Linked DNA regions of Drosophila melanogaster. Changing the gene in region 1 together with any one later gene gives a genetic interaction. Each region holds a gene or a part of one and is shown on either strand. Other genes may lie near its edges. The genes, in order: cyc and Clk.

Region 1 (4,758 bases):
TTAAAGATTTCCTTATGACTTGATCTTAAAACTCAAAATCACACCGAATTTGGTTTTACCATTATTACTCTAAACATTTTCGCTTGTTTATTAATAGGATATATTGATGTTATGAAAACAAGAACGATTTATTACTTTCAAGGAAAAGTTTTAAATTCATGAGAAGAATAAACTATGCTGCTTGTGTTGGAACTACACAGTGTTTCATCTCTAACATACATTTCGATATATCCAATTGGACAGCTAGTTCAGAAAACGGTCACTCTAGCAATATAATGGTAACTATCTGATGATCCAAAATAATAATAAATAGTAAAACTGAATGCTTACAGGCCGATGTGGATGTGTTTATAAGTAATTATACAATCATCGATCCAGAAATTTACCAGCTATGGATCGAAGGCTTCTCCTGTAAGTTTTCTTCTCCCAATTGCAATCTTGTTTCATGTCAAACGGCTCCATCGATTTACAATTATAGCCAGCGAGGCGGTGTCCTATCTGAAACAGAAGGGTTTTGGTCACTCCATGGGCGCTCCCAGCGACCTGATTGCATCGGATGTACTGGATCATTACCGCACCTATTCCCTGATTGAACTATACCTAAACGCACCCACCAAACTGATGGAGCAATCCTGCTTCCAGCTGGAGCCACAAATGCGTGACCTTATCACCGAGAAGTACTATTCCATCGATGATGTGGTGGCTCGCGAAATTCTTGGCAAGAAGCTGTCGTCCCGCTACCGCAAGGACCTCGACGAGGTGGCCGAGAAGACGTGCGTCAAGCTAAAATCAGTTCGGTGGGTAAATTTGGCCGCTACTTAGGCAGAGTAGAGTCTAATATATTTCAACTTCTTCTTCAGCCGACAATTTGACAACGTAAAACGCATTTTTAAGGCAGTCGAGGAAATGCCGGGCACGTTAACCAACAACATCAAGCAACACTTCATCATATCCACCGATCTAGCCAAGTATGAATATAATCAATGTATTGAACTTCAAAAAGCTAAACCTTTCACTCTTACAGAAAGTACGCCTGCATTGTTTTCCTGGCCTGCCTGCGTTTCGAAACCACCAAAAAAAAGTTGCAATACCTGAGCTTCAGTGATTTGTTGACCTGCTCCCATGCCATCATGATCTACTGGACGTATACTTACCAGGTATGACTTAGCTCTGCTAATTCCTTACGAAACTAATTTACTAAATGCAGCACACTGGACCGGAGTACTATGATACCGAAATGGACAAAGAGTTTCTCTTGGACCTGCGGGAGTTGCGCTGTCTACTCGACAAGGAAAAGGAGATTAAGCAGTGAGATTTATTTTTCTACCGCACACGAGCTATTATATAGTTTAGTCCTTGCATTTAGCCTCGTCTGCATGCGCCTCAAACCCGTTCTTCTCGAGCGCGCCTTTCACGAACTGGATGGCAACTTTCGGTAAGGACTTATTTCTCGACATTATCACCTTTTCTTACTATTGATCTGTTTTGATTTGCAGTTCTTACTGGCGCGCCCTGATCACCATCGCCTGCAATTTGCATCGCAATCGGGAGCTGCGCGATCTTTTCGTCGATCTCTGTGAGAAGCTTATTGATCCTTGGCGTCAGAATGGCTGGAACCGTGAGCAAGTGAATAAATTTTTGGCTTCCATAACGCAAAGCGTTTTGGATCTGGAAATATCAAGGTGGGTACTTTTGTCTAGATTAATCAAGTAACTTTTTTGATAATCAACTCTAAATGTTTTGCAGGGACCAAGAAACCAGATGTCTTTGGGATCGCTATATGCAGGTCATAACGATATGCTTGGATAAAATGTATCACATTTAAGATGTGATTAAACTAAGGATCAAATATAAATAGTATTTAATTGTTTGTTTGTGTTTGTTTCGACTTGTGTTGATTTTTACTCAGATTGTCTAGCCAAAGTAAAATAATGAAAATTGATTCATATGAGTTTCATATTTAAATATTTAAATACCGTTGTTAATTGGCGCCAAATGGTATTTTTAAGCGAAAAGCTTGTTTCCCTTGGTATTCTTCCGAAAGTTGCTGGTATATTTTGCAGCCACGTTCACACTGCAGCTTCGAAGCTGAAGATGCAGGAAAAGCTTGCAACAAATTGTCGGCCTGCACAAACTTCCGTTTTAAATGTTATTATTGGGACGTTGATGCTAGTCGATGTTAGTAAACAAACAAAAGGGAGGTCTTCGTCGGAAAGGGCTTAATTTTTCATAAGCAAACGTCACCGATTGGCGATGGAAGTTCAGGAGTTCTGGTGAGTTTCACTGGAAAAGTGCATTGCAAATTACATACACATTGCATAAAAACGAGCTGTAAGTGTGTGCGTTAAGCACCCACACGAACGCACAATCGCGAAAACGAGCACACACACGCTCATACAAGTTGGCCAGGTGTGCGTGTGGGTGTGAAGGGAAGAGGAAGCAACAGTTGACGCCCGTTACACGGGAAATCCACACTGGTTGATTAAATATCGGGGTTGTTTTCTAATTCACCATTTGTTGTTTTCGATTTAGCGAAAATATGGAGGAGATCGAAGATGAAAACTACGACGAGGAGAAGTCAGCTAGAACCTCGGATGAAAATCGCAAGTACGGAAAACATTATTCAGGCTTAACTAATTCCATATCCATTTATTCGACTTCAAGACTAATAATGATTATTTCGGAAAAGTTAATTGGTCTTTTCAATCAGATTCCTGCATCCATATGCATTTATAATTTTAACGTTATATCATTTATTTTAATTAGGCAAAATCACAGCGAGATCGAGAAGCGGCGTCGGGACAAGATGAACACGTACATCAACGAGCTCTCCTCCATGATTCCCATGTGCTTTGCGATGCAGCGAAAGCTGGACAAACTGACTGTGCTCCGGATGGCAGTGCAGCATCTGCGAGGGATCCGTGGCAGCGGCAGCTTACATCCATTCAACGGATCCGATTACCGGCCTAGCTTCCTGTCCGACCAGGAGCTCAAGATGATTATCCTGCAAGCGTCGGAGGGATTCCTGTTCGTGGTGGGTTGTGACCGAGGACGCATCCTGTACGTTTCCGATTCGGTGTCCAGTGTGCTGAACAGCACCCAAGCGGACCTGCTGGGACAGAGCTGGTTCGACGTCCTGCATCCGAAGGACATAGGCAAGGTTAAGGAGCAGCTATCCTCACTGGAACAGTGTCCCAGGGAAAGGCTTATCGATGCGAAGAGTAAGTGGCCATGCGAAAGTGTGAGATTCAGTACGTCACTTAAGTTTTCTCCTTGCGTTATCACCTGCAGCCATGTTGCCCGTTAAGACCGACGTTCCACAGAGCTTGTGCCGCCTGTGTCCGGGTGCCCGGCGCTCCTTCTTCTGCCGCATGAAGCTGCGCACTGCCAGCAACAACCAGATCAAGGAGGAGTCCGATACGTCCTCCAGCTCCCGGAGCTCCACGAAGCGCAAGTCCAGACTGACTACGGGCCACAAGTACCGGGTTATCCAGTGCACGGGCTACCTCAAGTCCTGGACACCCATCAAGGACGAGGACCAGGACGCCGACAGCGACGAGCAAACAACGAATCTATCCTGCCTTGTGGCAATTGGTCGCATTCCGCCCAACGTTCGCAACTCCACAGTACCCGCCTCGCTGGACAATCACCCGAACATACGGCACGTGCTCTTCATCTCGCGCCACTCCGGCGAGGGCAAGTTCCTGTTCATAGACCAGCGGTAGGTACGATTATGGGCATTAATTTTCTGATGATTCGACTTAAATTATTTGGCAGTGCCACCCTCGTGATTGGTTTCCTGCCTCAGGAGATCCTCGGCACCAGCTTCTACGAGTACTTCCACAACGAAGACATCGCTGCGCTGATGGAGTCTCACAAGATGGTGATGCAGGTGCCGGAAAAGGTGACCACTCAGGTCTACCGCTTCCGGTGCAAGGACAACAGCTACATTCAGCTGCAGAGCGAGTGGCGGGCCTTCAAGAATCCCTGGACGAGCGAGATTGACTATATAATCGCCAAGAATTCCGTGTTCTTATAAGGCATACGAACGTTCCGATGGGGAACATTACTTTTATTTATTCCACTACAATCCGACATTTGTATACACTCCAAAGATCTTCATCCGCATCGAGTTGCTGGCGCCGGCGTTTGAAATTCCATATTCGATATACAAACTTTACCTAATGATAAGCCCATCATTTTTGTACCGCCTCAATTAAATTAACTAACAACTTGAAAAGAGATTCGCTTAGATAAGAACATTTGCTATCGTGGGAACAATCTAGTTTTACCCCATCAAGGTTTCAACATAGCTCTCTGGCGATTGGAATTGTCGAGAAGAGCGGTCGCCTTCGATTACAAACAACAAATAGTTCTTAGCCGAGCACGTTTTGGACGTGATCGCTGCTCGAATTTCTTCGGGCACATAACTACTTGTGGTAAATGGTGTGGATCATGTGTACATATGTACATATGTACGGACATGTGTGTGTTTGATTTATCAACTGAGACGGGCTTTTTCGCCCGTTTTTCGTTTCACTCAACTTTTTTGCTTGCACTATCAATAGACCCACATGAAAAGGCGGCAGCCCAGGCGCGTGGGTTTGTCTGGGTCTGGGTATAGGTCTGGCATGGGTATGGGTATGGGCATGCCTCTGGCTCTCTCGCTCGCTGGATTCGGGTTCGGAATCAGTTGGCATAGAGCTGGCGTGGCATACGGACGCTCTGACACCTTGGCTTCCCAACCAGTGAACGTTT
Region 2 (5,299 bases), about 12 Mb from region 1:
CTCTCTCTCTCACTCTCTCTTTCTCTCTCTGTCTCTGGATTTCTTTGTCAGTGAACTTGAGCTTTTGCTTGGCAATGCTAATTGCATTGCGATTACAACATAGTGCCCGTGTGTGAGTGATAATACCCAATACTCATACGACCCGTTGTACAACTTTGCTTCCTCGCCTTCTATTTCTCTTTCCGCAAAACTTGTAATACTTTTCGTCGCGCTCTAGCGTTTGTTGTCTTAAACTTGACTTAATTAAATTGTTCACTATTATTTTATTTTTACCTCTAGTCATTCATTGATTTATTTCGTCGGCGTTCGTTCCCCCTTATTTTACCGAGACGGGATTTAATTACAATCTACCAATTCCGAGTTCATCGTTAATAGTGTTCAAGGGGTATACTTCTATGTGGTTTTCCAGCATGGAGTTGTTGTTCTATAAACAGAACCCTAAACGGATCTTGGATTTTCCTTTCCCTAAACGTTTAACAATCTAATAATAAATTGACGTATCTGAATCATTAGCAGTCTGCTTAAAATCATCAGTTCATCACATAAATCGATCTTTATAATGATTTAATATGTTTAGATTGAAATTGAATAATATTTTCGTTAAGGGGGAAATTTTAAATGAATTCTATTTAGTATCGATTAAATTCCGACTAATTAAAAACTAACTTGATTTCATTTAAGTGGACAAAAACTCACTATACCATTACAAAATTCATTAGGTTAAACTTATTCAGTCCAAAGTTTTGCTCTCTTTAGGTTATTCCTTTTGATATAAATGAAGGGTGTCTAACTTTTAGTCATTAGAAATTTAAGTGCATTTTTCTATAAGTTCTTTTAATTAAAAAACGACCCAGAGGCTTTCCTTAAGTTTTCGTTCTTTGTTTCCAACTACCTCAATATTGTTAAAAAAAAAAAAAAATAGATCTGGAGTAGTTGTCAATCAGTTGCTTATCTCACCGTATCAACAACTAGCCATATTTGCTCTAAGTGAAAATGAAGTATACGCTCTGCAAGCCAGAGCGAAAATGGCCAGAAAGTGCAGCTGACTGCAGATTAAATTAAGTAGCGTTTCGTAATTGTGCCCCATTTATTCGACTAAATGCAAAAACAAGAATCGAAGTTGTATCACTTGTAATGTTTAAAACCTTTTTGCATGTGCCTATAGTTTTTTTAGTTGTCAATTGAAATAAGTTTTACTGAGAGCGTGTGCGACTACCGCATGATCGCACACCACTGCACAAATGCACACGCGTACTCACACCATTGCAGCAGAACACACGCACACAGATAGACTGGCGCACACAGATACTCGGGGCAGTCAAACGCTGACGATGACGTTTCAAAAACTCAAAAAGACGCCACATCCGAGACCTGAGACTTGTCAGCCAACAATAAAAAAAACAAAAAAAAAAAAATTTAAATAAAACAAATGGAAATAGTTGGATTGCAAAGCGACTAGCAAATTACCTAGCTAGTTTCAGCCACTGGAAATTCTTGTAATTAAGCAAAACTTACAAACAATATTATTTATCTTGAATTCACCGGAATGAAAATAGTGTACTGCGTAAAATATCCAATCAATCTTGCTGAATGAAACTAAAACCAATATCTAAAAATATTTTTTAATTTTTATATTTATTTTAATATTGGGTACGAAATCCAACTTTTAGAGTAAACAAACGACACAACTCCATTCAAAATTCGAATAAAGAGTACATTATTAAAATACCTTTCCAAATCTAAAGACATTTTAAAAAAATTATAGTTTTTATTATATGTATGTGGAAAAATCGCTCTCACAGGTAGTTTGTTTTCAATTTTTTTTTGGTTGAATGCACTTTTGTTTTAAGCGAGAAGTATCTTCACTCGTATTCGCTCGTATCTCATCCTTGGGTTTGCCTTATCTTTTTTGGCGCGGCATTTTTCTTCTGTTATTTTTGTCACTGCGGATGTTCTACCTAATGCACTTTTGCTTTTATTATTTTTATTTTTTTCCTCCACTTTTGCTTTGCACACTTCACAATTTTGCCGCAGCTGATTTGTAATTTAATCTTTTGAATCTGGCGCAAAACTTTGGTAATTAGCAGGTAAAGTAGTTAATTTACTTCGAAATTGAATCTTAGCTACATTAGTTTGGATGCACTTGTTCAATTAAATAAAACTTTACTACTTTAGTATTTAACTAAGATCAATTTTTAACTTGTGAAAACTTGTATTTGTGTTTTATTGCAACATCACTGACATATAACTACACTTTTTTATTTGGCTTTTTAAAAACGCCCATTATTATTTAAACTATTTATTTTTATCCATATATTGCCTTTGGCGGCTTATCCACTTTTGTTTTTTCCTCTGCCTTTCACTTTGTTTCTTCAAGAATTATTCCACATTTGTTCCTGTTTTTATGGCACGAGTGTTTTAAAAGTTACATAATAACTTTTCCCGTTCTGCTTTGCGCGTTTTTTTTTTTATACTTCTGCACTTGGTGACATATATACGCCAATATATAGAAAACGATATCCAATAACAAAAACACTTTAATTTCTTTTATGGTAAAAGGTAAAACAAAAAACTTTTTTGGCAATATCAGCAGAAACAAGGAAGAAAGCTGCAATTTAATTAAGCGCAAAGACGGAGACAAACAAAAATATTATTCCCCTTCAAATCCGAAACAGAACCGAAAAGGCGAAAAGTGTGTAATATGCGATCGAGTTACAGGCAGAGACAATATCAACGGCAGACGGCTTGACTTTGCTTCAGATCGGCCAAGTACTTGCGATATAAAACAATAACTGCGCGCTCAAAAAAAAAACCCGGAGAAAATGCGAATAAATCGAAAACCCGAATCGGAAAATTAAAGAGAGAGATCCGCTCGTTGACGCTGCGCTTGCTGGACTCAAACTGAATAAATGCACGAGAATTGCAAGTTCTAAGCTGGCGAAAATAAAAACTACAAACGCAAAAAGCCCGTGGATAAACGAAAAACCGCGAAATGCATCGAAATGTGAGCAGCGAGTCCCCAGAAGCGTTCTCACCGATACAAAGATACGAAACCGAATCGGTCGGGAGAGTCAGTCGGTCTACAAGTCTGTTGTAATGCCTTTTGCCGGCCGGGGCGTATACGCGATATGTGCAAGCATTCCCAGCTCTACCTGACTGACTGACTGATTGAGCACCGCCACTCGGCTATTATTTAATATGCTCTCCACACTCAGAATCCGCCATATCACTCAATTGCACCGATCGTGAACCTGAGTTGAGTCTTTATCTATCGCTCTATCAAACTATCAGCACGCTCAGAGCCACTCTGCTCAGAGGGTCTCTCTCGGATCGGATAGTATAGCTTTTCTATATAGTTTTCTTTCAACCTTTCTGTTTGTTGTCCAATATTCCGCGTGTTTCTGGCATTCCGTCTGGAGATTACAGATATAAGGGTCTCTCGGGGGTCTCGCAGGGGTGATTCAACGGGTTTTGTTTGTCCGCGACTTAAGTTCAAGGTCTGTGGCAGGGGTGAGTTTTTGACTATAGGTCGGCATAGACTGAAACTAGGTAGGTGGTGCAACATACCCTAACTATCTTTTGATCTATCTATACTGCTTCATGTCTATAAACTTACATTAACAGATCATATGTGCATTTCATGCAACGTGAGGCGAACTGAAATATAATTTGAAATAATAAGAGAAGTTAAACATAATTTAAAGTTAAAACTAAACAAACTGTTTTAATATTTAATCATTTAATTTAATGTAAACTTTTACTAATTAAATTGTCTTATAGTATGGAAAGTGATAAAAGAACTTCCAAACTGTCATTTCAGCTTTTGTTAATCCACACAAATAATTTCCAAAGCACTACGGCATTAGCTTTTTAATGCAAACTCATATTTCAATAAATATTTCATATATAAAGTAGTTTTAGTATGAATTCAATAGTGAACCACGACCCTTACCTTTGATTCCTTTGTCGTATTTTATCTTCAAAATCAATTCAATTGGAATTCAGCTCCGAATCTAGCACTACGACCTCACTTTCTGCAAAGGTAGCACAGAAAACTAATAATTCTGATTCTTATTCCATGATTGCCTAATCGCGAACCGCTTGCACCAGAAATTCGATATTTATTAGATGCTTACGTAACATTTCAGCACTCGATTTGCAATTTACAAGATTTTCTCGATTTGATTTGAAAGTTTTATAGGTTTATGCAACGCACAGGATGTATATATGTAGCTATTCAGCAATGCAGAGGTGTAGTCAGAACTACTTTGTTGTCAAACTGAAACTCAATAGTTTTTTTTATCAACCACTTTTATAAGTTAAAAGAAAAACCATAGTTATGTTCCACATTTATTTTATATTTTAATTGTTTTCCTCTTTATTTTACATCATTATTAAATTAAGAAGTACCAGTAAAAAAAATTTAGCACAAAAAACACAGAGAAAATATGTTGTTGATTTGATCTTAAGAATTTTAGAAATATTATAAATTTTTTTTTGTTTCATATAGAATTATGTAATAATTTCTTCATATAAAGTAGACACAAAAATAATGTCAAATTTTGGGATTGTATTGTATTTAGTGTCTAAACGTAAATACACGATGATTTAATTTAGACGTTCGTGTATATTTTGTATAAAATTACATAAATATTTTGTTGACAAAAAATGTTGATTTATTTATTTATTTTGTGTTGAGCTGAAAATTAAATTCGTGTTCTATAACTAGCGTAGAAAATGTACATATAATTTATGGATTATCCGTAAAAAGATATTTACAAAGACAAAGATGTGCCGACTGATAAAGCAAATTTTTGTTTTTAAAATTGATTTGCTTTATAGGGAGAGTTTGAACGATTAAAAAGAATAAACAAAATGAGTATGCGGCTTAGAAGTAGAAGAAATCAAAGACAAAGATGTTTTAGCTAATGTTACAAAGATATATCAAAGCTATCTCTTCAATAGGAATGCGGGCTGAAGATACAGATACGAATACAGAAATAAGCATTTAGCGTATAGCACTTTATATATAGGTTCATATAGGTGAGCATATCATTTAGTTAGCCTAAGCATAATCAAGAGAGAGTAGGGGTGTTATAGAGAGGGACATAGTTCAGAGGGTATACATAGTGAAAGGGTATTAGTCAACAGAAAGGTAATTTCAAATTCTTAACACATTAGTCCACCCATTAACTTTCTTCATAACTAGTTACTAGTTCAGTTTTCGTCTAATTACTCTTGTATATATAGTTTTTAGTTTCGTTTAGGTATATCAAAAAAATATTGCAGATTGTCTTAG

What was found.
Region 2: of cyc (region 1) and Clk, changing one suppresses a phenotype caused by changing the other (phenotypic suppression), as found in Drosophila melanogaster (one study listed by BioGRID).

What each region holds. Positions count from the first base shown.
Region 1 is NT_037436.4:19,813,270-19,818,027, reverse strand, and holds cyc (cycle), read left to right. Parts: upstream 1-2,089; 5' UTR 2,090-2,253; coding exon 2,254-2,273; intron 2,274-2,532; coding exon 2,533-2,607; intron 2,608-2,766; coding exon 2,767-3,221; intron 3,222-3,291; coding exon 3,292-3,721; intron 3,722-3,777; coding exon 3,778-4,039; 3' UTR 4,040-4,258; downstream 4,259-4,758. Other genes in the region: fibp, read left to right, coding at 276-278, 333-411, 479-797, 861-968, 1,025-1,157, 1,208-1,308, 1,367-1,435, 1,497-1,682 and 1 more. UniProt on the Drosophila melanogaster protein: Putative transcription factor involved in the generation of biological rhythms. Activates cycling transcription of Period (PER) and Timeless (TIM) by binding to the E-box (5'-CACGTG-3') present in their promoters.
Region 2 is NT_037436.4:7,772,461-7,777,759, forward strand, and holds the start of Clk (clock), read right to left. Parts: upstream 3,144-5,299; 5' UTR 3,036-3,143; intron 1-3,035. UniProt on the Drosophila melanogaster protein: Circadian regulator that acts as a transcription factor and generates a rhythmic output with a period of about 24 hours. Oscillates in antiphase to the cycling observed for period (PER) and timeless (TIM).